Macaca mulatta: one gene and its partners. The protein of the gene in region 2 purifies or fractionates together with the protein of the main gene of each other region. This does not show direct contact. Links are inferred from orthologs where the notes say so. Each region holds a gene or a part of one and is shown on either strand. Other genes may lie near its edges.

Region 1 (11,074 bases), on a different chromosome or scaffold from region 2:
GTCATCTTCATTTCACCATTGAGCAAATGCAGCGTAGCTAACTAGCTTGCCTAAGATCACACAGCTAGCAATAAGTGGCAGAATCAGGACCCATGCTCAAAACTGTTTGACCCCAGAGACTAAGTTCATCCCTTCAGGGCAAAATAATTCAATGCTTCAATGACTACCAACTGTCTACCTCCCACCCCCACACCTCAACACATACTCTCCAGGCTTGCTTTCCTCAGCTATCCCAGATGAGTTTGTGGATTTTCATGTTGTCATCTTTCAAGATTCAGGCATCGCTTCCCCTGAGTCATCTTCCTTCCTGATCTCTCCTCCTGCAGCCCCCTGCAGATGCCCCTGGGGGGCACTACATGTCATGTTTGGTCTCCCCCACAAGACAAGTGAGGTTCCCCAGGCTGTGCCCTCATCTCTCTCATCTTTGGATCCACTGTGCCCGGCACAGCGCCTGACACACAAGAAGTGCTCCCTGGCACCCCAAGGCTCCGTGAATAGATGTGGCATTCAGGCCAGACAGCTGAGCTGCCATGCAGCTCGTTCCCTTTCTCACTCCAAATTGGCAGAAGAGAGTGAATGTTATTTACAAAAACACCAAGCCAAACAAGACCCTCCCTTCCCTGACACACTGAAGCTGCTCTGGGAACAGACAGGGGTCACCAAATGGTGGCCAGATGGTGACTGCTACTCCATAACTCCAGGGGCCTGGGGCAAAAGGCTTGGCTGCCCACCTGCTCCCAGGACCTGTGAACGATCCACTTTGTAGGGAAAAACCCAGACAGTTCCCTCCTTCCAAATCCCCTTCTGCAACCAGCTCTCGGAGTGGAGACTCTGCCAGCTCTCACCACATCCTGGGGACTCCTGAAGCCTGGGCTGGAAGTTCTGCAACCTTGCCCCATGTCAATGGCACTTACTTTACCTGACTTCTTCCTTAACAGAGAGGTGTTAATTCTGCAGTATTGACCCAGGGTAGTGGGGTGATCACCCCTGGTAGGCACAGCTGAGCCCTAAAATAACTGAACCCAGACAGAGCAGGGGAGCCCTGGGGCAGAAGGAATGTGGGGAGAGGGGAAGAGGAGCTCCCTTCTACCAGGGAAAACTCTGAGGACACAAGTAGCTGGAGGAACAGGGAAGGGATTTCCTACAGTGTTCCCAAACAAAGAGAGCTGGCGGGGCTTTGGGGAGAGCTCCGTTTCCCTTCGTTTCATTCAGCAGTGGTCTCCTCCTCCCACAGATGTGGGAGGCAACAGGCCCCCAACTGGTTATCAGGCCCTCCAGCGTGAGGGCCTTTGTCTCCCCTTAGACATCTAGCTGGCAGGGCGAAGGGCCGACAAATCCTCCCTGACCCTCCCAGCTCTTTGTTATCTCAGAGGGAAGATTACATTTCTGTATGGGGAGGCAAGGTGCCAGGAGGCCTCGGGCAGGACAGAGACAGGCAGAGCTGCTGTCTGACCCCCATTGCCTGGATCAGCTCAGGGCTGCCCTAGGGACACTCCCTCCACTGGCCTGGGGCCCTTCCAGAAATGGGAGGGCTGCGTTTCAGAAAGGGGGAGGGGTACAGGAGTGGGACAGAAGGGGAGGTGGGCTGGAAGGATAAAAGCAGCCAACTCTCAATTATTCAGAAGCATGTCTGCAGTGCGTGGACAGCCCATGCCTTCGCTGAGTTTCTCACCTTCTCTGTTCAGCTGCCATCAGCTCTTTCCCTGAGAAGTGGAGAAGGGAACCCTGGCAAGTTGGCCACTTGCTTTCATTTTGGCTTCTTGATGAATCTATAGAGGATTTTTCAGCAGCAGACCCATGTCCCTCAACACCAAACAAGCATTTAGATCATTCTCTTTCTGTTTAAATCAAGAACACATTCTTTAGCCTTTTCTTCGAGGTTCAAGATACTCCTACAATGGTTCTAAACCATAAGAAAAAGGGGCTTGATTTAAAACCCCTTGTTCTGGGCCAGGCTCATGCCTGTAATCCAAGCACTTTGGGAGGCCAAGGTGGGCAGATTACCTGAGGTCAGGAGTTTGAGACCAACCTGGCCAACATGGTGAAACCCTGTCTCTACTAAAAATACAAAAATCAGCTGGGCATGGTGGCAGGCGTCTGTAGTCCCAGCTACTCGGGAGGCTGAGGCAGGAGAGTTGCTTGAGCCCAGGAGGCGGAGGTGAGCCGAGTGAGCTGAGATCATGCCATTGTACTCCAGCCTGGATGAAAAGAGCAAGACTCCATCTCAGAAACAAAAACAAAAACCTTGTTTGAGAAGAATTACGGAGAGGAAGGGCGATACACACTCCTTTAGGAACGAAGTAGAAAAATAGTAGCTGGGTGTTAACATTAAATGCTGGATTTTTTTCATGGCTTGTTTTCCCAATCATATTTCCTCAAATTGTATTTCCTCCTCTGGTAAGCCAGGTGGGTTATGCTTAGCAAGTCCATCAACCACAAATATACATGGAAAACCTCCTGAGTGGAATTGGTCAGACGCCTTAGATGAGATCCTTGCCCTAAAGCAGTTTAGAAGCCAGTTAGAAAGCAGAGTAAGGAAAACTATTAACAAAGCTATGGTTAGTATCAACTCAGTGGATAGTCAGAAAGTGAGCAGGGGATCCAGCAACTGACAAAGCTGGGATGGGCAGGGAAGGCCTCTTGGGGGTAGGGTGTGAGTTTGGCCTTACAAGCCTGTGATGAGTATTAATTAAAATGCAGGAGGCCTAATGGGTGGGCAGCTTATTTAGGAGTATAAACCAAACCTGACCAGGAGCTGAAGGGTTAAATGGTGGCTTGTAGGGGAAAACTCTATAAACAGTGGCTGAAGTTCATTTATTCAACAAAGATATGAGTTCTTGTTTCTCTTTTTTTTTTTTTGAGACGGAGTCTCGCTCTGCCGCCCAGGCTGGAGTGCAGTGGCCGGATCTCAGCTCACTGCAAGCTCCGACTCCCGGGTTCACGCCATTCTCCTGCCTCAGCCTCCTGAGTAGCTGGGACTACAGGCGCCCGCCACCGCGCCCGGCTAGTTTTTTGTATTTTTTAGTAGAGACGGGGTTTCACCGTGTTAGCCAGGATGGTCTCGATCTCCTGACCTCGTGATCCGCCCATCTCGGCCTCCCAAAGTGCTGGGATTACAGGCTTGAGCCACCGCGCCCGGCTCTCATTTTTTGTTTTATATTATTTTGTTTTGAGACAGGGTCTTACTCTGTCACCCAGGCTGGAGTGTAGTGGCTGATTATAGCTCACTGCAGCCTCAAACTCCTAGGCTCAAGCCATCCTCCTTCTTCAGCCTCCACCTCCAGCTAATTTTTAAAAATATTTTGTAGAGACAAGGGCTCACTTTGTTTCCCAGTCTGGTCTTGAACTTCTGGCTTCAAGTGATCCTCCTGCTTTGGCCACCCCAGGTGCTGGGATTACAGGCGGGAGCTGTAATTTAGTTGTTTATTTATTCATTTGTTCAACAAATACTTATTGAATATTTGCTCTTTGGCCAGTCAAGGAATTTTATGAGTGTCTACTATGTGAATAACACCGTGTTGGCCACTAGTCTGTCACCTACTGGTGGATTAGAAAAATAACGCGAGGACCGTTTTCTTTTTTCTTTTTTTTGAGACAGAGTCTTCTCTGTTGCCAGGCTGGGGTACAGTGGCACGATCTCGGCTCACTGCAACCTCCGCCTCCCGGGTTCAAGCGATTCCCCTGCCTCAGCCTCCCCAGTAGCTGGGATTACAGGCGAGCGCCACCATGCCTGGCTAATTTCTTTGTATTTTAGTAGAGGCGGGGTTTCACCTTGTTGGCAAGGATAGTCTTGATCTCCTGACCTCGTGATCCACCTGCCTCAGCTTCCCAAAGTGCTGCAATTACAGGTGTGAGCCACCGCCCCCCTCCCCCAACTCTTTTCTTAAATTAGCCAGGGAGGCGTGGGTGGGGTGGGTGAGGAGTTGGGTGGGGGTAACTCATTCAGTATTCAAACTTCTACAAGTTTTGGGGATGAGGTGAACAGGCCCTGCCACTAACTTACATAGTGACTTCTATTTGTGTAGTATTTTTGGTCCACGGAGAGCTATCATTTTATTTGATTCTTACGATCATCTTGTGAAGGAGTATCAACAGATACTGCTGTTTTGATTTTATCAGATACAAGATTTGTCGTACATCAAACTTCACAAATGATGGACAGAATGGAGGAATCCTTCAGACCTAGTGCTGCCTACTTCCCACCCCAACGGTGGCCTCAGCCTGGGCTTTCACATCACAGGCCCCACGGAGACTTGGAAAAAATACAGGCTTTTGGCTCCTTCTTGGGACAGCCTGATTCCTCATGTCTGAGCAGGCCCATGAATTTGTATTTTTCAGACGTTCCCTGGAGGACCCGTGTCCATCTGGATTAGGAAACCACTACATTATACCACCCCGCGGCAAGACTCAGGGGGAAGAATTTAGCCACTTTCCTGAGTTCCACAGTACTGGAGGGTGTTCTGAGTGGGCTGTGATTAATTTCCAAACCAACCACACCTCTCCCCTCAACTCCCACTTACTCTTTGCTTCCTAGACGTTCACTTCAGGCTGGAGACTTCTGAAGACCAACAACATTGCTGTAGAATTTACAGGGTCCAGTTCCCGGTGGAGCACAAAACCTAAATTATGTGGCTGGGGAAAGCGGAGATCCAATGGAAGGGTGTGAGGAGGGGCTGACCTTCTCATAATAAAACCAGCTTGTATTTACTAGGTGTTAACTATGCGCCAGGCCCTCGTTGACCTCTCGACTCTATACGAAAAAGCACTATTATCCCCCTTTCACAGATGGGAAAACCGAGATTTAGAACGCGAAAATCATTCCCCAAGGTGCACAGACTCCAAAGTCCACGCTACCAGGTACAATCTCAAGGCTGCGGCGTCTCTTCACCTGTCCCCCACACCCCCCCAAACTGCAGCTATGTCTAGGGCCTGACATTCCGGCGCCCTCTGGGACGCGCTCAGATGCAGGGGCGCAAGCGCCAAAGGAGACCAGGCTGCAGGAAGAGAAGGGCAGAGCGCCGGACAGCTCGGCCCGCTCGGCCGGCTCCCCCTCCTCTGGGGCCGCGGCTGGAGAACTACAAGGCCCAGCAGGCAGCGGCAGGGGGCGGAGGCGGAGGAGGGACCAGCGCCGGTGGGAGTGAGAGGGCGAGCCCTCGCGCCTCGCCGGCGCACAGCGCTCGGAGCGCTCCTTCGGCCACAGGCGCGGCGTCCTCGGCGGCGGGCGGCAGTGAGCGGGAGCCGGGACGCTGGTGCAGCCGTAGCGCGCGGAGGAACCCGGGCTGTGCCGGCAGCAGGGCCACGTCCGGACGGGACCGAGACTCCGCGTAGCGCATTGCGGCGACCTCGCCTTCCCCGGCCGCGAGCGCGCAGCTGCTCGAAAAGCCGCGGAACCCGAGGACTTTCTCCCGTCCGAGCTCGGGGCGCCCCACAGGGCGCACGGTACCCGTGCTGCAGTCGGGCACGCCGCGGCGCCGGGGCCTCCGCGGAACGATGGAGCCCGGTCTGCAAGGAGCGTGAGACGCCGCCGCCGCGGTCTGGAAAAGAGGGGCACAAGGTCTGGAGACCCCGGGCGGCGGACGGGAGCCCTCCCCCCGCCCCGCCTCCGGGGCATCAGCTCCGGCTCCATTGTTCCCGCCCGGGCTGGAGGCGCCGAGCACCGAGCGCCGCCGGGAGTCGAGCGCCGGCCGCGGAGCTCTCGCGACCCCGCCAGGACCCGAAAAGAGCCCGGGGGCGGCGGGCCGGAGCCGGGGACGCGGGCACACGCCCGCTCGCGCAAGCCACGGCGGACTTTCCCGAGGCGGAACCTCCACGCCGAGCGAGGTAAGAGTCGCGGCGCCCCCGGATCCGGGGCTGGCTTGGCGTCCCGAGCGGCCCCCGGCGCCGGAGCCTCCCGGCTGCGCGCTTTGCCCGCCGCAGCCCAGCCGGGACCGGCGCCTCCCTCCGCTCGCCGCCCGCCCCCTCCACCTCCCGGCTCCCTCCCGGGCGATCCGCGCCCCCCTTGGGTCTCTCCTCCCTTCCCTCCGCCCGCGTCTCCTTCTGCGCCCCCTCCCTACGCTCGTCCCGCCGCTCTTCCCGCTGCCCAACTTTTCCGCCAACTCGCGCTCGGGAGCTGGCGAGGCGGCGGCGGCTCCTCGGTGAGTCCTGGGAAGGACAGGCCCGGGGCGAAAGCGGCGAGGCCCGCGGTTTCCTGGACTGGGGAGGAGGGCGGGAGTGGGCGGCGAGGTGGGGTGCGTTGTGTGTGTGTTGTGTGTGTGTTGCATTCCACTCCATCTCTTTTTGGTCCCCTTTTGGGGATTCACCCCCAATTCAGCAGGTAGCTTTGGGCTCAACGCTAAAAATCCAGGACATTCCTCAGTCCTTTTCCATCCCCGCTAAACCTGGGGTCCGGGTTGTGGGCGAATGGAGTAGGGGATGAACTGCAGAGGACGTGGAGGGCTAGGTTAGCTTCTCTTGGAATAGGCTTTAAGGAGGTGTCGTCACCAAATGGCTGAATCTGCTTGAGCTGAGAGCGAAAAACGACTCCGCTTTCCAGAAGGGGTGATCTTATGACTTGGACGGTCTCTGAGAGGGTCGGAAGTTTGGGGAACGGGAGGACGACCCACAGTCGTTAAGCCGAGGTATGGGACGGGGGCGGGAGGGCCGTTCCGTCCCAATCTCGTTCCTGGAGGTGGGGGAAGGGATGAGGTTTTTGTCCGGTGCGGTTCACTCGGCAGCGATGCGTAGGCTTCTCTGGCCCAGACCCCTCTGCACCCCGCTTCCCCTCCCGTTATGTTTAGGGTTGGGAGAAAAGGGAGGCTACGACCCATGTTTGCAGAGGAATTTGTGGACCTTGTAGATGGGGTTCATATAGAACACACGCCCCCTATGAAGCAGCCAGACACTTTTTTGGTGGTGGTGGGGCGGGGGGTGTGAAGCGTGTTTCTTGTTCTGGTCCCAGAAGCTATCAACCCGTTTGAAAAACATTACCACGATGTCTTTCTCCCCCAGCCCTCCCCCACCCCCATTTTCCAGATGTAACAGCCGCATCTGGTTCCGTTTCACCCCACACGGGTACACCGCAGCCGCGTTATTAACTTCCCTCTTCCTCCCCTCCCCCTCCCCCAAATTGAAACTCGGATTCTTCAACTCGTCTTGACCACCTCCCTCCTTAACATTTCTGGAGACATGGAGATGCGGCGTTGAGAAAAGAAAGTTCCCTTGGATCCCGAGTTATCGAAGATCTCACTAAGTTAGTTGTTCGCCGCCGCTAGTGGGTGGCGGCGGTCGGGGTGCTTTCTGGATTGCGCAGAAAAGAGGCATCTTGGGAGATGGGTCCAAGGTTTTAGGGGGTGGCATTCGCGAACGGTTCATCCGCTAGACTAGGGGAGGCTCTTTGGCTGTGCGTCTGGCCAGAACTGGCCTTGACGATGGAAGTTTCTGGAACCAAAGCGTTGCTTTCTCTCCCTTGTGTTATAGCTGGAGCTGCGAGAGCGCCTGCCCTGCCCGGAGCCCGCGGTCCCCTCTCGGCCGCCCCTCGGTGGCGTCACGCGCCCCTCCCGGAGCGAGCCCGGTGCGCTGGGCCGGGGGCGTGGGCGACTGCTGCCAGAGGCGCTCCCTGTGTGTTTTTAAGGACTGATTTGGGACGCATCCCCCGGAAACTAAAGTGGGGCGTTTTACCATTTAAGTAACGGCTACAGGTTTGAAAGCGGGGGGTTGGATTGTCCAGTTGTGTTTGGTAATAGTCTTTGAGGCAGGAAAGCGCCTTGTGGTCCAAAGTTGCGGGAGGGTGGAGAGAGTCAGTCTCTCTCACCCTCTTCTTTCCAGCCTCTCTCAGATTGAAAACACTTCTCTGGTTTCCTTCTTTGGGCGGTAGTTTTGGAGGCTGTAATGAAATCGCACTTTCTCTAGACGTGGTAATTAAGGTGACTGTTTCCTCCGCAGATGTGCCCTACCCTTTGCACCTCCGGACCAGGGCTTTTTTTGGAATACTATCTAGCCTTGAGACTGTTTAGCAGAAAGTGGCCATTTTCCTCCCTTGGCCCGGGCTCCCGGTTTCCTCCCTGAGGCTTGTTTAAAAGCGAAGTAGCAGGGCCCCGTGGGACGCGCCTTGGTCTGGTTAATCACCCCCATCCCCGGGTCATCCACCTTCCTCTCAGTGACCGAGGTTCAGCAGCCTCTGCTATTGCCGTCCCGTCTGTGCCCAGGGCCTGCCTCCCTAATGACTTGTTTACATATCCTACCCCCAGTGGGTTAGGAGAAGCTCCGGGGCTGCCCCGACCCTCCGAGTGCAGGGTGTTTGGGGACCGGGAGGCTGCTGGGGCCTGACTCCAGCTGGGAGGGTTATGAACTGCATCAGTGACGAGCTCCTTGAAATATCTGTTGCATTTACTCTTAGTCATAGCTGAGTGTCAGCTTTTTAATGAGGTTCATCCAGATTGAGAGCCACTTGGACTTCACTGCTTGCTTTTCCAAACATGCCTGCAGAAATGCTCATTTTCCAGGTATTTTTCCCAGTACAGATTCGGGCCAGAGTGGGCACCGCTTGAACAATCTTAGGGTGCTTCTTTTCCTTGACCTCTGGCCATGGAGGATGTTAGAAAGTTCCATTAGGTGGCCCTTTGATAGCCAGGGAAGCAAAGGCTCAGGAAGAAATGGCGAAGTGTCCCCCACTCCCTAGGGGCAGAGGATTAGATACGTCGGGTGCATCCCTCAGGCTGGGCTAGCTTTATTCCTGGTGGACTCCAGAGGGCAAGAAAATTGAATTGAACACTGGGTAGGCAGACTCAAGCCTTAGAGACCAAGGAAAATCCATGGGTTTTTCTTTTAGTGGTGTGCTCTTTGTTTTCAGTATTGACCTGAAACAAGACTCCTAAAATGGGAGATTTGCTGGTGTGAACTTGGGGGTTTAGCAGCGGGCTTCTCCAAAGTTTTTTTTCTTGCCTCCGTTTCTAAAGTGTCTTTTGTCAAAATGGCTGTTAGTTACAGAACGTCCTAGCAAAGTTTGAGCCTGTTGTTGCTGGAGGAAAAGGCATTAGAATTGATTCAAATGTCTTATTCTGAAAGGGCCTCACATCACTTGATGAATTTAATTTCCTCCTGGGAAATTTGTGTCTTGCATTTGTCTTCCCCAGAGCTTTGTAAAAGGCCTGAAAGCACCAGGGACTGGTAGGAGTCCAGATGCAGAGCTTTAGAGAAGATTCTGGTGTTCCCAGAGAGGATGAAATGTCAGACTTGGGCTAGGATATTTGTTTTTCCCCCTAAGGTTGCATCTACTTTAAACAGAAATTGCCTCCTCACCACCATTTCTCTCTCCCCTGCAATGAAAGAAACCATGTTTAGGGCCCTCTCTCCCATTTAATAGCACTCACCTGGGTGAACTATCCCAAGAATTTGGTGGGGTTCCACTCATAGTACATCCTGTCTTCAAGAGCAAGGTTTTCTAGATTATGTGCAGCAGTTGTGTTCGCCAGGCTGGTCTTGAACTCCTGACCTCAAGCGATCTGCTGGCTTCGGCCTCCCAAAATGCTGGGATTACAGGTGTGAGCCACCGTGCCTGGCCACTTATTGCTAATTTTTTATATGTCTTTTACTTCCAAGGACAGGTAGACTTTTTTTTTTTTTTAACAGAGACACAAAAAATAAGCATTTCTCTTGGACCAACTAAAATTTTGCAAGCTGAGCTAAGTAACTTTCTCCATGTTTATTAAGTACTTGCCCCCTGCCCTCTCAACATGTGAGTAGAGAATGCTCACTTTGGGGAAGAAATAAGTCTTACTCCCATCTGAAGGGAATAATGTTTTGGTATTACTTCCTTAATTCTGAAGAACCAAGTTGTCCAGAAATTTTCTCGGTACCCTTTGGACTACAGTTTGGCTGGTTAACAAGGGATACTAGCTAATTGCTTTTCTCTGATATTCTGAGCCTCTTTTTCTGGAGGAGTATCTGTATCAGTTGCTTTTCATCAGCTCTTTTTTTTCCTTCATTCACTTACTCATCCAGTTAACGAACATGTTGGCATCTCCTGTGTACATACTAGGTGCAGAGAGTGTTAGCAAAGGTTAGGGAGGCACAGACCCTGCTCTGAAGGAGCCTGCAGTTTCATGGGGAGAGAAGAGAATGAAGAACATAAATAATAATCATATCATGTGGCCTAAGCACCATGTGAGAGGGGCTAGTAATGTGGTTTGCGAATTTGGAGGAATAAAATCCTCCAGCTAGAAGAGGCCCAAGAAAGTCTTATGGAAGAGACAGCTTCTTAAGGTGGGGTTCAGAGAAAAGGGAAGGCCTGGCCTGTTGCAGAACAAGGAAGGGCAAAGAAGAAAGTCTTGCACAGAGGCATGGAGGTTGCTTCGAGCTGTGGTGCCCTATAGAAATAGAACATGAGGCCGTGCACGGTGGCTCATGCCTGTAATCCCAGCACTGTGGGAGGCCGAGGCAGGCGGATCACGAGGTCAGGAGATCGTAATCATCCTGGCTAACATGGTGAAACCCCGTCTCTACTAAAAATGCAAAAAATTAGCTGGGCATGGCGGCGGGCGCCTGTAGTCCCAGCTACTTGGGAGGCTGAGGCAGGAGAATGGCGTGAACCCGGGAGGTGGAGCTTGCAGTGAGCGGAGATCGCGCCACCGGGCTCCAGTCTGGGCGACTGAGCGAGACTCCGTCTCAAAAAAAAAAAAAAAAAGAAATAGAACATGAGCAGCTGGGCGAAGTGGCTCATGCCTGTAATCCCAGTACTTTGGGAGGCCAAGGCAGGCGGATTGGTTGAGCCCATGAGATGAAGATGAGCCTGGGCAACATGGTGAGACCCTGTCTCTACCAAAAAATACACAAATTAGATGAGTGTGCTCATGTTGTCTGGTAGTCCCAGCTGTTCAGGAGGCTGAGGTGGGAGGATCACTCGAGCCTAGGAGGCAGAGGCTGCAATAAGCTGTGATTGCACCACTGCACTCCCACCCGGGGGACAGAGGAAGACCCTGTTTAAAAAAAAAAAAAACAGCCAGGCACAGTGGCTCATGCCTGTAATCCCAGCCCTTTGGGAGGCCAAGGCGGGTGGATCACCTGAGGTCAGGAGTTCAAGACCAGCATGGCCAACATG
Region 2 (10,406 bases):
CCAGGAATTCATTCAGAACTTGCCATGCCCCAGAAGTACATGACGTATTATCTTCTATATTGCAAATAGAAATATGGGAATATTTCTCACTGATACCAAGTGAGAATATGGAATTCACATTCTTGATAAGGCAGGACACATTTCAATACTTATGTCACACAGACAAAATATCCTGCATGGGAGCTTGCAGAGCCAAGTCATCTGGTATCACTTAGAGATGATGATAAGACTTGATTCCAATTTCCACAATCTCACAGTTCAAGAATAGAGAAGATGGCTTGTTTATACTCAAGGACAAATTACCAAACAGGCATGGCCAAAAGGCCAAATGACATCAGACAGGTGTCATTTTTCACATAATGTCTGGCTCTATTTCTTCAAACACTGGAGTTCTAGCAAAATGCTTTCTCACAAGTCAGACTTTGCAGAATCACATTGTAAAGTCTGGACCCATATTCTAGAGTAGATTCCTTTGTACGACAAAAGGGGATATTTTATCAGGGCCTCCGCTACAATCTCACTAGATAATGCCCAGAACTCGGTGTGAAAGAGACATGTTCAAGGGCATGTTCTCTGTGTTTCCTGTTCTTATTCGTAACTGGCTTGTATCCATTCCTGTTCAGGTGACTTGTTATGAGCCTTTAAGGTTTGGCTCTGTGTTAACTGCAGCATAATTTATTAAGTAACCTAACATCTTGTGACAATTCCTCCAATGTCCTTTTGTTCAGTGTCCTCAATGTCTACCATTTAACCCAAAAGGAAGTTGCCATCCAAATTTACTTGTTAAACCACCCATTACCAGCTGTCCCTGTTGTCGAATGGGAGTCTTCTCTGGGTGTTTGGAGATACCCCTCATGCCATCTGTTGCCAAACCACTGTTCCTTCTGGGTAGCTGTTTCTTCAGTTGTACTACTAGGAATTGCCTGGACTGTGAGAAGAATATCAGTTGGGAGACATAATTTTCTATTTTCCTTGCCAATAGCTGTCAACGTATCTTTCTACTTTAAGGGCAGATACACATGGGAACAGAAGGTAGAAAAGAAAAGCAGCAAGGAAACAGGCCACTGATATTCTGAAAGGGATATTAGAAATAAAATGATCCAAACATTTAATTTTTCAGATGGGAACATTGTGGTCCAAAGAGGTTTTGATTTGTTCAAAACCATAGGACTAAGCAGACCATAGCTGATGAATTCTCAGAGTTCTATGAGTTATCATTATTTTTATTTTACTGTAGTGTATGGCGTCACATACCCTGTCTTAGAAAACCATTCAAAGAATAACCTCTTCGCTCCAGTCATTCTGATGAAAGGAAAATACTGTATAACAACTGACAAGATCAGCGCATTAGGAGACCGTCTCAAATGGTGGTCATGTAACCCATAATTGCACACACTGGAAATGCACCAGCAGTGGATTTGCCCAGCAGGAAAGGTGTTGGGATGGCTTGAATGCTATTTCACTAACACATTATGTGGCAATGTTCATATGGCGCCTAAAATTGCTAAAATCACTTTTTAACAAAATTAATTCAGTTGACAAAAACTATCCAAGCCAGTTTGAGGCATTATATAAATAATAGTGTGTGACAGGCTTAAAATTTCAACCATTATTTTAAAAAGGACAAAATCAACAGAATAAAATTCCATCAAGGTGCCTTCAGGAAAAGTCAGAAAGCCACCAACATTTTTAACTATAGCAACTTAAAGCAATTTTGTTTTATCAAGAAAATGAGAGCCTATTAACTTGCCAAGCCAGAGTATTTTTTTTGTAACTTGTAAAATGGTTGTATTTCATTATCTTAGAAAATGATATGTGTGATTTGGTGACGGCAATGACATTTAAAAAATAGAACAGTCCTCATTTTACCCTTACATTGGCCAAGCCATTATTGGGTTAACTGGCTATCCAGGGGGAGGGGAAAAAAGCCAGAATCTTAAGTTTTACCTACCACTGACTAAATCACTAATTCCCAACCAATAATGAAGTTAGAAAAACCACTGAATGTAATTACATAAAAAGGAATATTGACCCAAACATAGACTGCCATGTTACTCAAAGTTTAAATAAAAGAAATAAGGAAGTGTATGTGTGTGACTGCATAGAAGGACTCTATACTCCTTCTATCACTACTTTAATGAGTTTTTAAAGTACCCATAACTCTTTATTGTTTTCAGCCTAAATAGGAATGAGTTCACAAAACATATGATTTCTATTGTAAAAGATGAAGGTTGACTTTCTTCTAGAAGTTGTGATGTTAATTTGATAAAGACCAGAGGTCACCAATCAGATCCCTTTGAGTTTCGCAAATATTCATAAGAGAATTGTTACAGTTTTCACTGTCTTCTCTTTGTCAAGTTACATTCTGTCTGAATTTTCACCTACCCTCTAGTCCTAATGCACCCCAAGCACCACCTTTTGACAATAGGCTCATTATTTCCAAGTCTCTAAAGTAGCTTTCTGGTCTTTAAGTGCAAACTGTCTAAAACAATTTCTAAGATATACAGTTAGGGCTCTAAGGGACTGGAACAAAATCCTATTCCAAAGAGATTTATGCTTCCTCTGTATTTTCTTTTCCTAGACTTCTTTGTTAACTTAGTCCGTAAGCCTTATGCATACATCAGATCTACTGGGGTTTGTAATGGAATGTAAGGTCTGCTGGATATATTTAGTACAACGTCTAACCTCTATCCTAGCTGGTACCTGAAACTTTTCTTTTGTTGTCTGAAGACACACCTCAAGCTATAGATTCCCAAAGCCCTTTGGTTTTTAAGTGGCTATAGCTCACATTTCCGCATTAGGTGTATTTAGGGCTGTGAGAATGACAGTCAAATCATCATTTTAAAAATGCTAAAAAGCTGTTTTCCAAAATAAATACTCTTATTCCAAATAAGATAGACATATCTCAGTGGGACAGATAAAAGAAGAAAAGCACTTACTTCTTATGTTTGGGGAGTGAGGGGGTCCCCTATTCTCACAGTCCAGTGCTGCAACTTGAGATTGTTTTAGAAAAACTGACAAGTTTTCATAATAGTAGAAATAACAGTAAGAGCATCAAAGCCTTCCCCAAGTTACCTTGGGCTTAAAAACAGAAAAAGAAGCAGTGATAGAATTCAAATGCAGACCATACGAGCTACCAACTTTGTTCTAAAGAGTACAAGGGACTATAGAACAGTCAAGGACAGAATGCAAAAAAGAAACTATATTCATCAAAGATCTTCATAGAAAATAAGGATTCCAAAGATCAATTCACTTGACAAGCTTTCTTTCCAGATTTCACTACTAAGCACCAAAAGAACACACTTTGCCACACATTTCCATAAACACACACAAGTTACCCAAATGGAACCTCTAGGAACTTTTAACACAAAAATTGTATCTAGATCTACTTCTTAAAACATTTTGGTCTTTGGGCAACCTGAAGTGTTATCATTTTCCTTCCAATTTTTAAAATTTGTGTGCAAGTTTGGCAGATTTTCAGGCTCTGAGAATAAAATAAATTACTAAGTGGAAATAGAAGATGTGGCCAATTTCTAAACAAAATCTTCCCTATTGCTGGAATGTCTTCACTAACTCATCTAACCCAGAACTGCCGACCGCCATCTTGCTTACTTGTGCTTGTAGAATGTGGGGTCTCTTCTTCCTCATGATGCTCATGGTGAATGAGGGGAGGATGTGCTTCCGGGTGCCAGTTTCCTTCATGAGCAGTGGTGCCATTTCTGTCTACATCTGCTGTGATGATGGTTAAATACACTGTGACTTGTTATCAATCAAGCTTTAATGATTCTGTTCTTCCATTAAAGTGCATGCTATTTAACAATTCTATGCCAAAGTATTATCTCTGAGCATCCACTCTCAAAAATTTTGAGTGACTTTACCTAATTGGTCTCAAGAGAAAATCAATGGGCTTGGAATTTCTTCATGTTCCCTTATTATTCCACTATGATCAGTTTGTCAAAGGCAGCACCATAAATCCTTCAAACATATTCATTTTTATAATGAAGCAACATAAAAATATACCCACATGGTATAATTGATAAATGACTCCTAAATGGAATTAAGTATCCTCATGAAAGTCCACTAAGAATTTCTTGATGAGATACTAGCTAAATTTCCCACTGTGTCCCGATGATTGACCTTTGCAGCATCATAGGCTTTGAGGGGAAAAAAAACCTTTCATTAAATATGCATAACCCATTACCAGTTATCCTTGCGGTTGTCTGAAGTAGCACTTCCGGATTTGAATGGCTTGGGTTCCACTGGGTCCAGTCCTTGTTCTGTTTTGTGTGGTCAAAAACCCGTGGTGTGGTTGAAACTGTGATAACGATGATTGAAGCAATTAGAAAAATGTTATTTCTTGAGCCTTCGCCACTTGTCTCGCATATAGTCTTGTTTCTGTAGACTATGCAATGAATCATCTATACCAGGTTGTATAGATGGCGGCATGGAAATGGAGGGAAAGCGGAGGATGCCTTCAGCTTAATTCAGCCATATTGGTAAGCATCTCAGTGTCCTTTGCATTCTGTCATAGAATACCTTAGGGTTCAGAACATGAGATCTTCCAGATAAAACAGTCAAAGAAGCTGCAGCAGTAGGAAGGACAGCTTTGAAAACACCAGCCCTTCACCGAGGATAACCAAAGGCACCATTTTGCCCATCCATGCAGTCTGTAGTATCCCTCTGCACTTGAAAGCCCAGGGACTTAGTCACTGTGTGCTATTTGTAGATCCTCAGGGTGAAGAGGCAGATAACTGAAAGTTATACCATGATAATCACTTTATGTTGTTAGTAATTTCAGTGGGGAAAGAAATGTCTGAGCAGCCAGAGCTTTCCTATAGATGATTCCGAAAAATATTACCTACCTAGAATAGCCATATGTTTTAGCTGTCCATTTCTGAATATTTATCAAACACTATGGTATTCTCATCAAATACAAAATATGTCACGAGCAAGCCATTCATAGCCAATGAAAGAAAATAAGACACCACAGGTAACCAGCCACCATCACAGAAGCACAATGGAAAGAAAGAGGCATACATCCACCAGCACCCTGATATCGTCACCCAATCTGTTAGGGCTGGAATGGGAGATGCACCTAACAGAAAGATCATGACAAAATCTGAATCAATGTGTTTTGTGGAAAGGTTATTTGCAAATCCATCCTAATTGTTTCAAATTTTATTTTGAAACCCAAATAACACAAAACTGTTTTCAGAACTATAATACTGTCAGCTCTATTTTACAAGTTATGAAAATCGAGTTTAGAATCATTAACCACATTCTCAACAAGCATGAAAAGGTGCTTATTATCAAGCAGTTATCGCACCCCTCCAGAAGAAAGAGGGCATCATGTTGAATTATGTCCATAGGTGCTAAGCAGAAAAGTAAACTGAAATTGGAAAATATGCCATAGAGATTTTAAAAATTAAAAACAACAACAACAACAACAACAACAAAAAAACACCATGGGAAGTTTTTCCCTGAAGCCTGACCATACAATTCATTTGCAGGTAGATATCTTTGGGTTACTCCCCAAGGGAATTTAATTTCTTCAATATCAAGACCACGTCTTTACTAATGGACCTACCTGCAAAGCTGGGCCACATCCTGAACACAGGAGACAGTGTAATGTAAAACTCCAGTGTTTTTGATTATTTGGTTTTTGTTCTGAAGTTACCAAAAATAATTTTCTTATTCCATAGATTAAGCTCTGGAGGGGTGCTGGGTCTAAAAAAATCACTTAAAAGTTTAGATAGAAAATTCTAGTTCCTTTTGAGTATTTGTTATATCAATGTTATATATTCAGATGCCTTCAAGGCCTAAGCTATTTTTTTTTTTCTGGACCCTTTCTTCTCTGTGTGCTATCCGTTTGAGGATTAAATTGTCAGGTTTTAATGGAATGGATAGAACTTCAGTGAATTGGGGGAGCTCACATAGCACCCCAAAAGCCTTTTTTCTAAGGAAAAGCAAAACTGTGATGGAGTCAGGTTCAGGATTCTCAGCTCTATTCAGCAAAATCTTAAGTCATTACAGGTATGTGTGGAAAACTCAGTAATCTGGCAGACTATTAGACCAACCTTTGCATGTTTTTAACTTTTTAAGGACATCTTTAAAGCTCAATTTCCATCTCTTTGTTCTCAAAAAGTTTTATAATTGTCAAAAATTTGGATACTATTATGTACCAATAGTGGTTTCATTATTTGCTTTTAATAAGTGGTAATGTCTTGTTAAAGCTAACCTGACATTTGCCCTTCCCTTCAAGGTCTTTGGTGTCCAGCTCATTTGTTAAAACTCTGGATTTGTTCCTTTGACCTTAGTCGGGTTTTGATTAAGATAATTCTTGAGTTCCAGCTCCCATCATTTAAGCCTTAAGGGCCTTCAATTTAGGATCTTCTACAACTTTTTTTTTTTTTTTTTTTTTGAGATGGAGTCTCGCTCTGTTGCCCAGGCTAGAGTGCTGGAATGCAGTGGCGCTATCTCCTTCCTGATTCACGCCATTCTCCTGCCTCAGCCTCCCAAGTAGCTGGGACTACAGGCGCCTGCCACTACGCCGGGCTAATTTTTTGTATTTCTTAGTAGAGACGGGGTTTCACTGTGTTAGCCAGGATGGTCTCGATTTCCTGACCTCATGATCTGCCCGCCTCGGCCTCCCAGAGTTTTGGTATTACAGGCGTGAGCCACCGCGCCTGGCCTACAAATTTTAATTAATACCCTCCTAATCACATTCTTCAAGTCTATTGCTCCAACAGACCATGAGATTCTGAAAGGCAAAGGCTCTGGCTTTTTTCATCTTTGTGTTTCCAGCACCTAGCACAGTAAGTACACAATGAATATTTTTTGGACTGTTTTAATGTCATCCTCTGACAAAGCCTGATCATTCAAAGACAATCTGTAGCAGTAGACTTCATTGATAAATAAAACAGGAAGAACCTGAGACATTAGAAATTTTATGAGATATTTTCCCCACTTCTCAAAACATTCTATTTCTTCTTCCATAATCTCATCAAGATATAACTAAGGTATGATCACAGGTTCACCTATTTTTCACATTAACTACTTCTCAAGAGAGATACAATTAGGTATCACTCAGATTAATCAATAAGCCTTGCATAAATGGCTGTACTGTAATTGATTATTCTTACTGGTGCTGGAGATAAAATCTTCATCATCATCAATGCCTGATCCAGAAAAACTGAGGTGTCTGTCTCTTTCATCTTCATTTTCTTCATTTGGCTCCCAGCCTGCTGAGATGGTATTTGAAGACGTACCTGTTGTGGTGACTTGCATTAGTGGCTGAGCTGGATGCCAGGCAACCCACTTGCAAAGGAAGAAAATCAGGCACAGAAGGTATAATGGATTTCCCGAATTTTTAAAAGAAAGTGAGGGAGTTGACTTGCATACCCCAAATTCTTATGTTCTGGTCTCCGAAGCTAATACATAAATCTCAAAACAAGTGACTGTGATCTTTAAAACTGAATATTCTCCTTAAGAAAGCTAAAATAGGTCTTCAAAGGCCAATGAAAACTCCCCCACGCTTTCAGATGTGTTTATTATTAACTCATTAAGCATATGCCATTAAAGCCAAGCCGTCAAGAACAGAATGGAAAGGTTTCATACGTGCCTTTATTTATTTATTTATTTATTTTTTTGGTCAAGACTCCTTCAGAAAAATTTGGAATCTACACCTGTGTCAGTCATTTCATTGTGTTCACAATTTGCTAATTCATTTTTTGTCTTCAGAGATGGAAGCTACACTGCAGTTCCCAACACTACTTCAGCATAGAGCAAAAATGTGGAGCCAATTAACAGAGAAATCATTTTTGGCATTATTAGGCAATCAAAGGGGTTAACTAAAGTGAACTGTGGTTGAGATATTGAGAAATTCTTTTTCTTTTTGAATAAAAAAAGGAGATGAAAAACTTCATCTTCTTCTCAGTGGTTACTGTAGACAATGTCTTTTTACTAAAACGGGGTTTTCTACATTTTAAATGAGATTCAGGCTATCTTAGGGAATGAGCATTTGCCTTTTCGTATGATTAGTGTCTACCCCAAGAATAGTTCCATTGATGAAGATTTTCTATATTTTTTCAGATCTAGCTATGCTATTTCCTCATGAAAGTCCAAGACTTTTTATGACTGTGGTAATTTTAGAATATACATGAATAATCTTTCAGAGTCACAATTTTGCTACGTCATTAAAAAAAGCTTATTCCCGTTTTATAGTCTCTATATTAACCTTCTCCTGGGCTATACTAATCCATATATTAGAAAGAAGAAATCTGCTTATTGGTGCCATACAAGCAAACAAACAGATACCAGAGTTCATGATCCTTCTAAAGTCATAATGAACATTTGTGAGAATAGAAGGAACTTTAGGCTTTAATAACATCCCAGAGGTCAATCAAAATTATTCAACGCTGTCAAGAAAACATATGCTATGAGACAATAATAACTCATTACCAGCCATTTGTGTTGTTGTGTGAAGATGATTCTTGGACTCTGATGGTAGAAACAACCATGAAAACCAATCCTGGGTTTCTTGCCTCTTGGTTGCTGTCTCAGTTGCTGTAGCACTAGTGCTCATCAAAGCTGTTGTAATCATGATTGAATTGATTGTTGAAAGATTAATTAACAGTTCCTAAGAAATAGCATTGAATATGCTTGTACTGTTTTACTATTCAAGAGAATCATCTATATTTGATATAGATAGTGAAAAGAATGGGAAAAAGCAAAAAAGTTCCATTTTTTTTCAGAGGCTCAAACTGAAGTTTATAGAATGTCAGAGAGGGAAGGATCTTAAATGTCATCTGGTTCATGCTCCTTATCTTAAAGATTTAAAAATTGTGCTGGACAGAGCTTCTGACCTATCTGAAATCAGAAGCCTAATTAGCAAGAGTGAGGGCTCCAGGAACACATGAGAGCCATCTTCAAATTTTGAAAGTCTATATAATGTAAAAGAGGGATTAAATTTTTTGTCTCTGGATCCAGGAGGCCAAATTAGGATCTGTGGTGAAAATTTCAGGGAGATGAATATTCTTCCAAATGTTGGATTGAAAAAAGCAATAATCTGAACTATCCAACAATGAACTTCTTCATAAAGTATTATGTTTCCCATAGTCAGGAAGATCACTTGGCAGGAAAGTTGTGTAAGAGATTAAATTATTAGAAGTGTTGATTGAACCAGACCATTTAACATCCTTTCCAAATCTGAGAGTTTATGATTCTAAAACCCAGCTCTTCAGAGTCCTAGCTCCTTAATCTTCTATACAATCTTGGGCAACCAATACCATTCTCCAAGAATTTAGAATATGATATTTCTGCCAGCAATAGATACATAATCTTAACAATCCAACACACAGGGAAAATGACATAGAAGTAGAAGATTGAAAAATGTGCCTCTCCACTTTTCTCCATTTAGATTCCAAATCCTCTCACAACCTTGCCCAAGGTAATTTCTTATGTCAAACTATATTTTGCAAAGCAGAATAGGACATTTTGAGTCTCATTCTTTGAAAATAGGATAATCAATCAGGAAAGACAGACAGAGATGAAGTGACCCCAATGATCTTGCTAATAAGACCAGAAGCAAGAGTCTTGATTTAAAAATCTCCAAAGACCGCCATTTCTGCAACCAATAATGCACAAAAATGTGTATCAGAAGAATATGAGCTAACAGTAGACAAAAAACTGAGAACAAGTTCAAGCAGAGAGGCTGAAACCATCATCCCCAAACACAAAAGTAAGGTGAGTTAGATTTTTTTTTTTCAGCTATCAAGAAAGCCCAAAAATGACCTAAGATGAAATACTGCCAAAAAGACCTTTTCCTTCACATTCTTTGTCCTATGAAGATAAACATTGTCAACATTTAAAAATAGCATTTTCTTTATTCTGCAATTTCTCTATCCCTCCTCCCCACCCCTGCATGATCTTAGACATTGTGATATGGCAATAATAACATAACATGAGCACTATTTTCCTCATGATTATTTATAGAAGTAAAGAATATAATTTGTCCAATGTCATATAAGGCAAACAAATGCAAAGAATCATTTTTCCATGTTTATTACTCCCCTCTGCAGAAAGAATGCCTAGTTATTTTGGAGTATGGCCATTACCTCCATCAATGAAAGTTAATAAATGAAGGTGTCCTTGCAATCTCCCATTTTTACAGGCTTTGAATCGTTCTTCCCCAAAGCTCCTTTATCAATACACTTTGCAGGTATATAGAGCTAAGAGGCACACACCCAGGGAGCTAGTTAGAGGCCTAGATTCTGATATGGAGCAATAGGTCATTTCCTACATTTTACAGCTGAGATTTTAAGTGTTCAAAGAAGGGTTCAGGGCCTACACTTTGATGAGAGAAATCTGCATTTCCTTCTCTTATTATTGGCTGTGAGAATCAGAAC
Region 3 (9,994 bases), on a different chromosome or scaffold from region 2:
ACCCAGCAGTTCTACTCTTAGGAATCTACCCAAGAGAAATGAAAACACACACCTATGCAAAGACGCCAAAACATCTGTGGCAGCATTCTTCAAAATAGACAAAAAACACTGGAACCTTAAATATCCATCAACTGGTGAATTAAGAAACAAAATGTGGCAAAACCACACGTGGAATACGACTCAGCAATGAAAAGGAACAAACTACTCTAGACGCTACAGCATGAATGCATCTCAAAAAACATACTGAGTGAAAGAAGCCGTAAGCAAAAGACCACATAGCATATTATTCTGTTTATATGAAACATCCAGAAAAGGCAAAGTTAGAGACAGAAAGCAGATCAGTGGTTGCATAGGACTGGAATTGGGAGCTGAATTGACCAGAAACAGGTGGGAAGGACTTACCAGGTTGACGGAAACATTCTGTAACTGGATTGTGGTGATGGTTAGGCAACTGTACAAATGACAGCATTTTCTTTCTTTTCTTTTTTTTTTTTTTTTTTAACACAGTCTCACTCTGTCGTCCAGTCGTCCAGGCTGGAGTGCAGTGGTATCTCAGCTCACTGAAACCTCCACCTCCCAGGTTCAAGCGATTCTCCTGCCTCAACCTCTGGAGTAGCTGGGATTACAGGTGTGCGCCAGCACACCCAGCTAATTTTTGTATTTTTAGTAGAGACAGGGTTTTGCTGAGTTGGCCAGGCTGGTCTTGAACTCCTGGCCTCAAGTGATCCGCCCACCTTGACCTCCCAAAATGCTGGGATTACAGGTGTGAGCCACCATGCCCTGACTGTTTATATATATATATAAAAGCCCAGGTGCAGCGGTAATCCCAGCACTTTCAGAGGCCGAGGTGGACAGATCACAAGGTCAGGAGTTCGAGACCAGCCTGGTCAACATGGTGAAACCCCATCTCCACTAAAAATAGAAAAATTAGCCAGCGGGGTGGCTGGCGCCTGTAATCCCAGCTGCTCAGGAGGCTGAGACAGGAGACTCACTTAGGCCGGGAGGTAGAGGTTGCAGTGAGCTGAGATCGCGCCATTGCACTCCAACCTGGGCAACAGAGAAAGACTCCGATTCAAAAAAAAAAAATACAAAACTTAGCTGGGTGTGGTGGCTAGCACCTGTAATCTCAGCTACTAGGGAGGCTGAGGCAGGAGAATCGCTTGAACCCAGGAGGCAGAGGTTGCAGTGAGCCGAGATGGCACCATTGCACTCAAGTTTGGGTGACAGAGCAGGACTCCCTCTCAAAAAAAAAAAAAAAAGAAAAAGAAAAAGAAAAATAGCCTAAAGGGACACTAGAGTGGGTGGCGTGCTAGGATACCATAGCGCTACTGCAGGCAGGGAAAAGGCAGCAAGGACCTGAGCAGCCTCCATTTCCAGAGTTGCAAAATGGGAATAATGACACCAGTCCCCCAGTGAGAGGCTGGATAAGAAGGGGATGTGCAGGAACTGTTGGGGGCACACAGCCTGAAGAGTGTCTACGGTTCTCCAGTGCAGGCAAGAGGCAGTTACAAAAGACTGGAAAAAGCAGTTTAGAGCTTTGGGATCAGAAACACTTGGGTATGTAACTATAGGGCGGTTCCAAATGGCATCAGCGCAGGGCGTGGTGCCTCACGCCTGTAATCCCAGCACTTTGGGAGGCCAAGGCGGGCAGATCATTTGAGGTCAGGAGTTCGAGACCAGCCTGGCCAACATGGTGAAACCCTGTCTCTCCTAAAACAAACAAACGAACAAAAAACTGGGCCGGGCGCGGTGACTCATGTCTGTAATTCCAGCACTTTAGCAGGCCGAGGAGGGTGGATCACCTGAGGTCAAGAGTTCGAGACCAGCCTGACTAACATGGTGAAACCCTGTCTCTACTAAGAACACAAAATTAGCCGGGTGCGGTGGCACGCGCCTGTAGTCCCAACTACTTGGGAGGCTGAGGCAGAAGAATCGTTTGAACCCCGGAGGCGGAGGTTGCAGTGAGCCGAGATCGCGCCATTGCACTCCAGCCTGGGCAACAAGAGTGAAAAAAAACAACAAATGCCATCAGCATGTGAGCGAGAAAATGTCAACTATTTCATACATCAGCCACACCCACTCCCATCTCCAGGATGGTTGCCCCACCGCTTTCTCTTTCTTTTGTAAACTGAAAAGCGCTCTGCAGTCTAAGATAGTCCATTAGAGTAAATGAAGCCGTGAAGTCCGGCGGACATCGGGAGTGGGGAAGCCCGGCATTCCGGGAGACCGGGCCGGGGAAGGAGGGTCTGTACCGGTTCTCCCAGACTCTGCCCGGGGCGCGAGCTCCGGAGCTGCCGTACGAGGTCAAAACGTAGCAATGGCGGAGGCCTACAGGGGGCGCCCGGACGCCACGCTCGGCCCCGCCCCAACGCCACGCTCGGCCCCGCCACGCTCCAGAGGCCCCGCCCCGTCACGTGCCCGCTGAGCGCGTCACACCCGGAAGCAGGGGCCCGAGCGGAGCAGGCAGCTATGAGCGGGGAGCCGGGGCAGACGTCCGTAGCGCCCCCTCCCGAGGAGGTGGAGCCGGGGAGTGGGGTCCGCATCATGGTGGAGTACTGGTGAGCGGTCCCGGCTGGAGGACCCCTACCCTGGTCCCGTGGGCCGGACGGAGGTGGGTCCACGGGAGGCCCCACCCCCGAGTCCCCAGCCCAGCCCCATTTCTTCTCCCCAGTGAACCCTGCGGCTTCGAGGCGACCTACCTGGAGCTGGCCAGTGCTGTGAAGGAGCAGTATCCGGGCATCGAGATCGAGTCGCGCTTGGGGGGCACAGGTGAGGCTCATGGAACACCTGCTGAGTCAGTCTGTACTCTAAATCCCAGCTCTCCCGCTTTCTAGTTCTGACATTGGCTGCTTTATGTAAAGTGCCTGCAGTGCCTGACACATGGTAAAATGTCCAGCCAACATGAGTTCCCTTCCATATGTCAGGGGGTTCACAGAGGCCTGCGGGGGAAAAACCTATTAGACTGCAATCGTGTAGGGTTGGAGGGGAGGGAGTCTTTCATTGTTGCCAGGGGCACACAGGCGGGGCCTCCCTCAGGTTCCCTGGAGTTGACCCAGGGTTGGGGAATGGCTTAAGGAGCTACAAATGGGTCTCCAGTGGGAGTGGTGGGGGACCCCTTTGAAGGAACTCCTGATTTCTGCCTATGTTCTCAGTGTACCATTTATTTATCTGTTGATTTCTTACCAGGTGCCTTTGAGATAGAGATAAATGGACAGCTGGTGTTCTCCAAGCTGGAGAATGGGGGCTTTCCCTATGAGAAAGATGTGAGTATTTGCAGTGTTGGGAGGACCTCTGGGTCATCCTACCCCAACAGTGCATCATCCTGTCATTCCACATCTCTGTCCTCTAGCTCATTGAGGCCATCCGAAGAGCCAGTAAAGGAGAACCCCTAGAAAAGATCACCAACAGCCGTCCTCCCTGCATCATCCTGTGACTGCACAGGATTCTGGGTTCCTGCTCTGTTCTGGGGTCCAAGCCTTGGTCTCCCTTTGGTCCTGCTGGGAGCTCCCCCTGCCTCTTTCCCTTACTTAGCTCCTTAGCAAAGAGACCCTGGCCTCCACTTTGCCCTTTTGGGTACGAGGAAGGAATAAGATTCCATGGCCTTGGGGGCAGGAGAGAGACACTCTCCACGGACACTTCCTCAGCCACCTTATACCCCCTTCCCAGGATAAGTGCCCACAAAAGCCTGGTCCACTCTTCACCTCGGTAATACCTGTCTGATGCCACAGTAGATTTTATTTATTTTCCCCAACCCAGGGCAATGTCAGCCATTGGCAGTAAAGTGGCACTACAAACACTAATGCTAACTAGTGTGTGTTTTTATATGTCCAATCTGGGAATGCGGGGGGCACAGAAGTCCGGCCGGCCCAGCCTTTGTACCGCCAGGGTGGCTGTGCTGGCTTGGGTGGGCTTTCTGGACAGCTACTCCTTAGGTCAGTGAGCTCCTCTGGCATAGCCAAGGCAAGGAAAATGAGTCCCACAGTAGACCCTGCCTCGTCTTTCGCCCACTCAACCGCCACTCTCCTGACTCACAAGGAGGAAATAACCCCATTCTGGTGAGTGGCCTTAGGAATTCGTTCTAAGAAAGAATGATCTGGTTGTTAAAGGGCTCTCAGATCCGAATCCAGCTTCCCGATCCCCCCCAACCCTGAAGCTAGAGAACTGGATGTCAGGCTCCTCATCCAAGCTTTCTGAAGATTCCTGGTCACTCCCTCCAGGAAAAGAGGAGTTGAGTGTAAGGTGAGCAGGAAGGGATGGTGCAGAGCTACCCCCAGACATAGGCCGGTGCCTAACTGTTCTCCAAAATATATTTGCAAATGGAGAAAGTGGGTGTGGAGAAGGACCCCCCACATCTGCCTCCCCATACAACACCCATTCTCCCCCTGGGTCTTTATTTCATCTTTAAAAAACAAAACAAAGTAAAAACTAAACAGAAAAGCACTCTGTACAAGGCCTGGATACTGACACCATTGCTGCTCCTTCCTCATGGGGGGTAGTACTAGGTCTCAGGGACAATCTCTGAATGGGTCGCTCTTGTTCTTAGACACTCCCTTAGGGCCACTTCCCCTCTCAGGCCAGCTTCCCTAAGGCTTTCAGTATGCAGGATCTGGAAGGAAAGGGCCAGGCTGGGCTGTGGCATCCACTGGACCCTAGAGTCTCATTGGGCAGGGCCCCAGAATCCACCAAGACTCCCCAGTGCTGTTCCTCTTCCAACTAGGCTGGACCCCTTCCAGCCATCTGGGAACTCAAGCAGGAAGTTTCCTTAGGACAGGTTCCGGGCATGGCAGATTCCTCTGGAAGTGGTCGGAGGGCCCGCCCGCCTCTTGATGCCAGTGGAAGTCAGGCCTTCCCTGCTCCCTGAGGACACATCGGGGCTTCTGCGGACTTGGCCTTCTGGTTCACACTGGCATGTCCAGACCCAGGTACTCTGGGTTCTCTGCCGTAGGTGTCCCTTTGAAGGTGCTAGGTGGAGCCCCCCGCTCTGATGGGTCCTGGTCCCAGTAATAGAGGTTGTCGAAGGCTGGGCTGAAGGCAGGAGGAAGGTGGGGCTGAGGGGCAGCTCCTCCCCGGGGTGCCAAGTACTCGGGGTTCTCCACAGCACCCCCAAAGGCAAAAACGTCTTTGACAACCCCATTCTTCCCTGGGGAGAGAGTCTTGGGCCTTTCCAGAGTGGCACCAGTAGGTCGGGCAGGAGACAGAGGGCCCTCTTGGGGCGAAGGGGGCTGTGGCCGAACATCTGGCTGGTTCACATATTCTGAAAGGCCAAGAGAAGATGACCTATTAGGGGAAGGAACCCCGGTGTCGCTGCCACTCCCTCTGCCCCCACAGTGGACCCTGGGCTGAGGGTCCCCCCTACCCCGCCCATCAGTCTCTCCGCTTAGACTGGACTCCATACCGGGCTGGGGACTGCAGGTCAGGGGGGCAACGTAGCCGTCAGTCTCAGAGGGCAGGGGTACCGTGGGGTCCTCACTGTACCGCTGTAGAGGGCTGGGGTCATGTGCGGGGAGGCTTTGCAGCCCCTTGGCTGCCCCCATTCCTAGGTCACCATCAAATACATCAGAGCCAGTCCCTTCGGAGGGTGCCCGTGGAGACCTGGGGGCCTCCTCTTCAGAGGGCTCCAGCCCTAGCGTCAGGTCCCCACCGCCACTCTGGGGACAAGAAAGTAAGTCATGATGGGAGTCACTTAATGGATCTGGGATGGGGACTCCATGGGAAGTGACAGGGTCACAGGAGAAAAACAGGTCACCTTTGGGGTACGACACAATCACCGTGGAGAGAATGGGGTCACAGAGGTTGGAAGGCAGTAAGAATTTTTTGTAGGGATAATGGGGTCTCCTTGAGAGGTGACAGTTGAGGGAACATCAGAGAAAGGGACCCTAGTCCACCAGGGATGGAGGAGGTAAGCAGCCACACAGTGTGACCGAAGGCACTGACCCTGGTAGATGAGCTGCGGTGCCTGTGGTGGACCATGCCCCCAGTGCCCGGGGCAGGGTCTGGACAGAAGAAGCCCTGCTGGGGTACCAGATACTCCTCAGCATCCACCAGGTCCCCCATGTCATCGTCCTCCAGCAGTGAGCGGTAGAAGGTGCTGTCCAAGGGACTGGCTGGGCCCAAGTCCTCATTCTGCGGAGGAAGGAGAGGTGGGATGGTGGCCCCTCCCCAGCTCAGCATGCAGCCTTCCATGAAGGCTCATAGCAGGTGAGGGGCCTGACACACCGGACTCATCTCTCCTTCCCACCCTCTGCAGGAGGGTGCTCTTAGCCACAGGCAGGGATGGGGCACAGAGGCCCAGTACCTGGATGACCACAAAGCGCTGGGGGTCCCTGGCCATGCGGGAGAATTCCGACACCAACTCCCGGAATCTCGGCCGACATTCAGAGTCAATCATCCAACCTGGGGCAGGAGGGAGGCCAGCATCTAGCCCCGGCCCTGTGTGCCTGCTGCCTCCCCTCCCACTCCCGCTGCAGTCTGGTCTAGACAGTCCCAAGGGACAGCCCAAAGCCCTTGGTGGTAGAGAAGTAGTACCAGACTCTGGGGGCTTCAGCCAGAACCTTCGGGCATCTCTACTAGTTTCCCTTTTAATTTTTTTTTCTTTTTGTTTGCTTTTTTGTTTTTTTGAGATGAGGTTTCACTCTGTCGCCCAGGCTGGATTTCAGTGGTGCAATCATAGCTTACTGCCACCTTCAGCTGGGCTCAAGTGATCTTCCTGCCTCAGCCTCTCCCGAGTAGCTGGGACTACAGGCACACACCACCACACCCAGCGAATTTTTTTATTTTTTGTAGAGATAGGGTCTCACTGTGTTGCCCAGTCTGGTCTTGAACTCCTGGCTTCAAGGGATCTTCCCACCTCAGCCTCCCAAAGTACTGGGATTACAGGCATGAGCCACTGTGCCCAGCTTAATATTGTACATAAGGTTCTCTAGTTGTTCCTCAAGAGTGGCTTTGGACTTTGACTGTAAAAGGGATATGAGAAGGTTTTGAGGCTCCTAATATACCAGGGTTCCTGGGTCTACATACATCCTGGTCCCCTTTCATGCCCTTTGTGGGCTTCTCGACCCAGGACCTCCCACCCTCCTCCAGGCAGCCCGCACAGCTCAGCCACGCACATTTGACCATGATCATGTAGACATCAATGGTGCAGATGGGGGGCTGGGGCAGCCGCTCCCCCTTTTCCAGCAGGTCAGGGATCTCCCGGGCTGGGATCCCATCGTAAGGTTTGGCCCCAAAAGTCATCAGCTCCCACACAGTCACACCTAAGGCAGAGACAGGGTCAGGAGTGGGAGGGCCAGAGGTTCTGCCCAGGAGTCTGGCATCATGGCAGCAGGGGGGAGATGTGATGCCAGGAGACAGAATCTACCCAGTCTTTCCCTAATCCTGGGAAGTGCACAGACCCTGCAAGGTGGGGCACAGGCAGCCCCTTCCCTCCCTCCACATGCTGAGGTGGCCCCATAATTCTCCCCATCCCAGCTCTCATCCTCCCTCCAGCCATGACTCCTCACCCACCCCTCCCAACACTCCCCACCACACACCATAACTCCACACATCACTCTGGTGGGTGAACCGCCGTCGGAGAATGGACTCCAGCGCCATCCACTTGATGGGCACCTGGGAGGGCAGAAGAGGAAGTCCTCCAACTGTGTGTGGTGGGGAGGTGGCCACTCAGAGTTCTCCCAGGGGCCAGACCCCACTCCACCCGACTTCCTCTGCTCCTTCACCTAACCTTGCCCCCATCTGCATGGTACTCTGTCTCGTCAATGTCCAGCAGCCGAGCCAGCCCAAAGTCTGTAATTTTGACATGGTTGGGACTCTTGACCAGCACGTTCCGAGCAGCCAAGTCCCTGTGTACGAGCCGCACATCCTCCAGGTAGCTCATCCCCTGGAATGGGAAGCACCCAGGTAAACCTTCTGGGAGGGCCTGGCCCTGGTCATATGCCCAGGAAGAGTCCCCATCCTAGCCCCTTGTGGACATAGGGGCTTGCTCCAAAGGGACCCGCAAAGAGCCCAGGTGCCCTAAGTGCATACCTTGGCAATCTGCATACACCAGTTCAGCAGGTCCTGGGAGCCCAGGCGTCCGCGGTTTTCTCGGACATGGTCTAAGAGGCAGCCATAGGGCATAAGCTGTGTCACCAGCTGCACCGTGGATGTCAGGCAGATGCCCAGGAGGCGGGAGACATATGGGGAGCCCACACCAGCCATCACGTATGCTTCCTGGGGACAAGGGTACACTGAGAGGGTATGGGAGACCTCACACCCCCAAACACCACACAGCCTCCCAACCATCACACAGCCTCCCAACCACCACACACCCCCAAACACCACACAGCCTCCCAACCATCACACAGCCTCCCAACCACCACACACCCCCAAACACCACACACCCCCAAACACCACACAGCCTCGCAACCACCACACAGCCTCCCGACCATCACAAACCACAGCCGCGGCTCACGGCCTGTGAATGCCCAAAGTACCAGCCTGGCCAACATGGTGAAACCCCGTCTCTACTAAAAATACAAAAATTAGGCCGGGCACGGTGGCTCACGCCTGTAATCCCAGCACTTTGGGAGGCCGAGGCAGGCGGATCACGAGGTCAGGAGTTTGAGACCAGCTTGGCCAACATGGTGAAACCCCATCTCTACTAAAAATACAAAAATTAGCCGGGCGTGATGGCTCACACCTATAATCTCAGTTACTCAGGAGACTGAAGGAGGAGAATCGCTTTAACCTGGGAGGCCGAGCCAAGACCACGCCATTTCACTCCAGCCTGGGTGACAGAGCGAGACTCTATCTCAAAAAAAAAAAAAACAAAAAAAAACCAGGCAGGTGCTTGTAATTCCAGCTACTCAGGAGCCTAAGGCATGAAAATCGCTTGAGCCCAGGAGGTGGAGGTTGCAGTGAGCTGAGATCACGCCACTGCACTCCAGCCTGGGTGACAGAGCAAGGCTCCGTCTCCAAAAAAATAGTCTAGGTTTGCGGGAGTCATATCTCCCCAAACCCCAATGAAGAGACCAGAGCCCAGACCTGCAGCCATGGGGTCCTTCCTGTCAGCAGAAGAGGGTAGAGGGGCTTACATCTAAGATTTCTTTGTTGGCTTTGGGGGATGTGTTTTCCCTCAACACTTTGATGGCCACTGGAATTTTCACATTCTCCCCATCAGGGATCCAGATGCCCTGGGCAGAAAGAAGAGGATATGAGTGAGAAGAGCGTGGGCTGGATCCTACCTGCCTTCCAGGAGATCATTACTTGTGCTCCAAACATCCTTCCCCACCCTGGGGCTTGCTCCGGTTCCCTTCTGCTCCGCTGTAACTGCCCTCCCCCAAATACTGCCTCCGGCTCTTGCCCCTCCCATCGGAACTGCCGACCACACCCCTCCAGGCACCGCCCCCACCTTCTGGGGCCGCCCACCCCAGGACCTGGCCCTGACCTTGTAGACTGTGCCAAAAGCTCCAGATCCAAGCACCTTCACCTTCCTCAGCTCCGTCTCTTTCAGGATCCGCATCTGCGCCTGGTTGGGCATCGCTCCACTCGGTGTCAGTGGCTCCACCAGCTGGGGTGAGGGGGTGGTGGGTCAGTGCCGGGAGCCAGTGGAGACCCCACGCGGGCTGGCAGGCCTTCACCCCGCCTTACCTCCGTTTCCTGCAGCAGCCTCCGCATCGTGTACTTCCGGATCTTCTGCTGCCGTCGCTTGATGAGGATTCCAAAGACCACCCCCAAGACCACGACCAGCAGAATGCCCACCACAGCAGAGATGATGGACGTCAGAGGGCTGGGGGCGGAGCCAGGGTCAGGGATTGAGGGCTAGTTTGGGGTAGGAGGGACAAAGGGGGCCCACGGGGGACATGAAGAAGGTGTTTGGCATTCGGAAAGGGAAGTCGGAAGGGTGACCCACAGGCTTGGACCCTCTCCTACTCAAAACCTGCCTTGGCTCCCCACTGCCTCCACAATAAAGTCCAAACTCCTTGTAGGCAATCAGAGCCCTCTCCACATCTCCAGA

The links.
Region 1: the proteins of CD44 (region 2) and FGFR1 purify together in Homo sapiens (affinity purification with mass spectrometry; 3 studies listed by BioGRID and IntAct, counting the BioPlex papers as one, with this or other methods). This does not show direct contact. The link is inferred for Macaca mulatta from reciprocal best matches to the Homo sapiens genes CD44 and FGFR1.
Region 3: the proteins of CD44 (region 2) and ERBB2 purify together in Homo sapiens (affinity purification with western blotting; 3 studies listed by BioGRID and IntAct, with this or other methods). This does not show direct contact. The link is inferred for Macaca mulatta from reciprocal best matches to the Homo sapiens genes CD44 and ERBB2.

What each region holds. Positions count from the first base shown.
Region 1 is NC_133413.1:40,408,156-40,419,229, reverse strand, and holds the start of FGFR1 (fibroblast growth factor receptor 1 precursor), read left to right. Parts: upstream 1-5,200; 5' UTR 5,201-5,820; exon of another isoform or gene 5,821-6,617; intron 6,618-7,102; exon of another isoform or gene 7,103-7,228; intron 7,229-11,074. UniProt on the Homo sapiens protein: Tyrosine-protein kinase that acts as a cell-surface receptor for fibroblast growth factors and plays an essential role in the regulation of embryonic development, cell proliferation, differentiation and migration.
Region 2 is NC_133419.1:30,083,756-30,094,161, forward strand, and holds part of CD44 (CD44 antigen), read right to left. Parts: intron 8,590-10,406; coding exon 8,461-8,589; intron 7,269-8,460; coding exon 7,143-7,268; intron 4,316-7,142; coding exon 4,202-4,315; intron 3,733-4,201; coding exon 3,613-3,732; intron 929-3,612; coding exon 800-928; intron 1-799. UniProt on the Homo sapiens protein: Cell-surface receptor that plays a role in cell-cell interactions, cell adhesion and migration, helping them to sense and respond to changes in the tissue microenvironment.
Region 3 is NC_133421.1:64,077,547-64,087,540, reverse strand, and holds the end of ERBB2 (receptor tyrosine-protein kinase erbB-2), read right to left. Parts: intron 9,767-9,994; coding exon 9,628-9,766; intron 9,548-9,627; coding exon 9,425-9,547; intron 9,171-9,424; coding exon 9,072-9,170; intron 8,209-9,071; coding exon 8,023-8,208; intron 7,877-8,022; coding exon 7,721-7,876; intron 7,606-7,720; coding exon 7,530-7,605; intron 7,254-7,529; coding exon 7,107-7,253; coding exon of another isoform or gene 7,064-7,106; intron 6,462-7,063; coding exon of another isoform or gene 6,394-6,461; coding exon 6,296-6,393; exon of another isoform or gene 6,266-6,295; intron 6,156-6,265; exon of another isoform or gene 6,124-6,155; coding exon 5,935-6,123; intron 5,649-5,934; coding exon 5,396-5,648; intron 5,255-5,395; coding exon 4,899-5,254; 3' UTR 4,375-4,898; downstream 1-4,374. Other genes in the region: MIEN1 (migration and invasion enhancer 1), read left to right, coding at 2,470-2,558, 2,672-2,769, 3,187-3,392. UniProt on the Homo sapiens protein: Protein tyrosine kinase that is part of several cell surface receptor complexes, but that apparently needs a coreceptor for ligand binding. Essential component of a neuregulin-receptor complex, although neuregulins do not interact with it alone.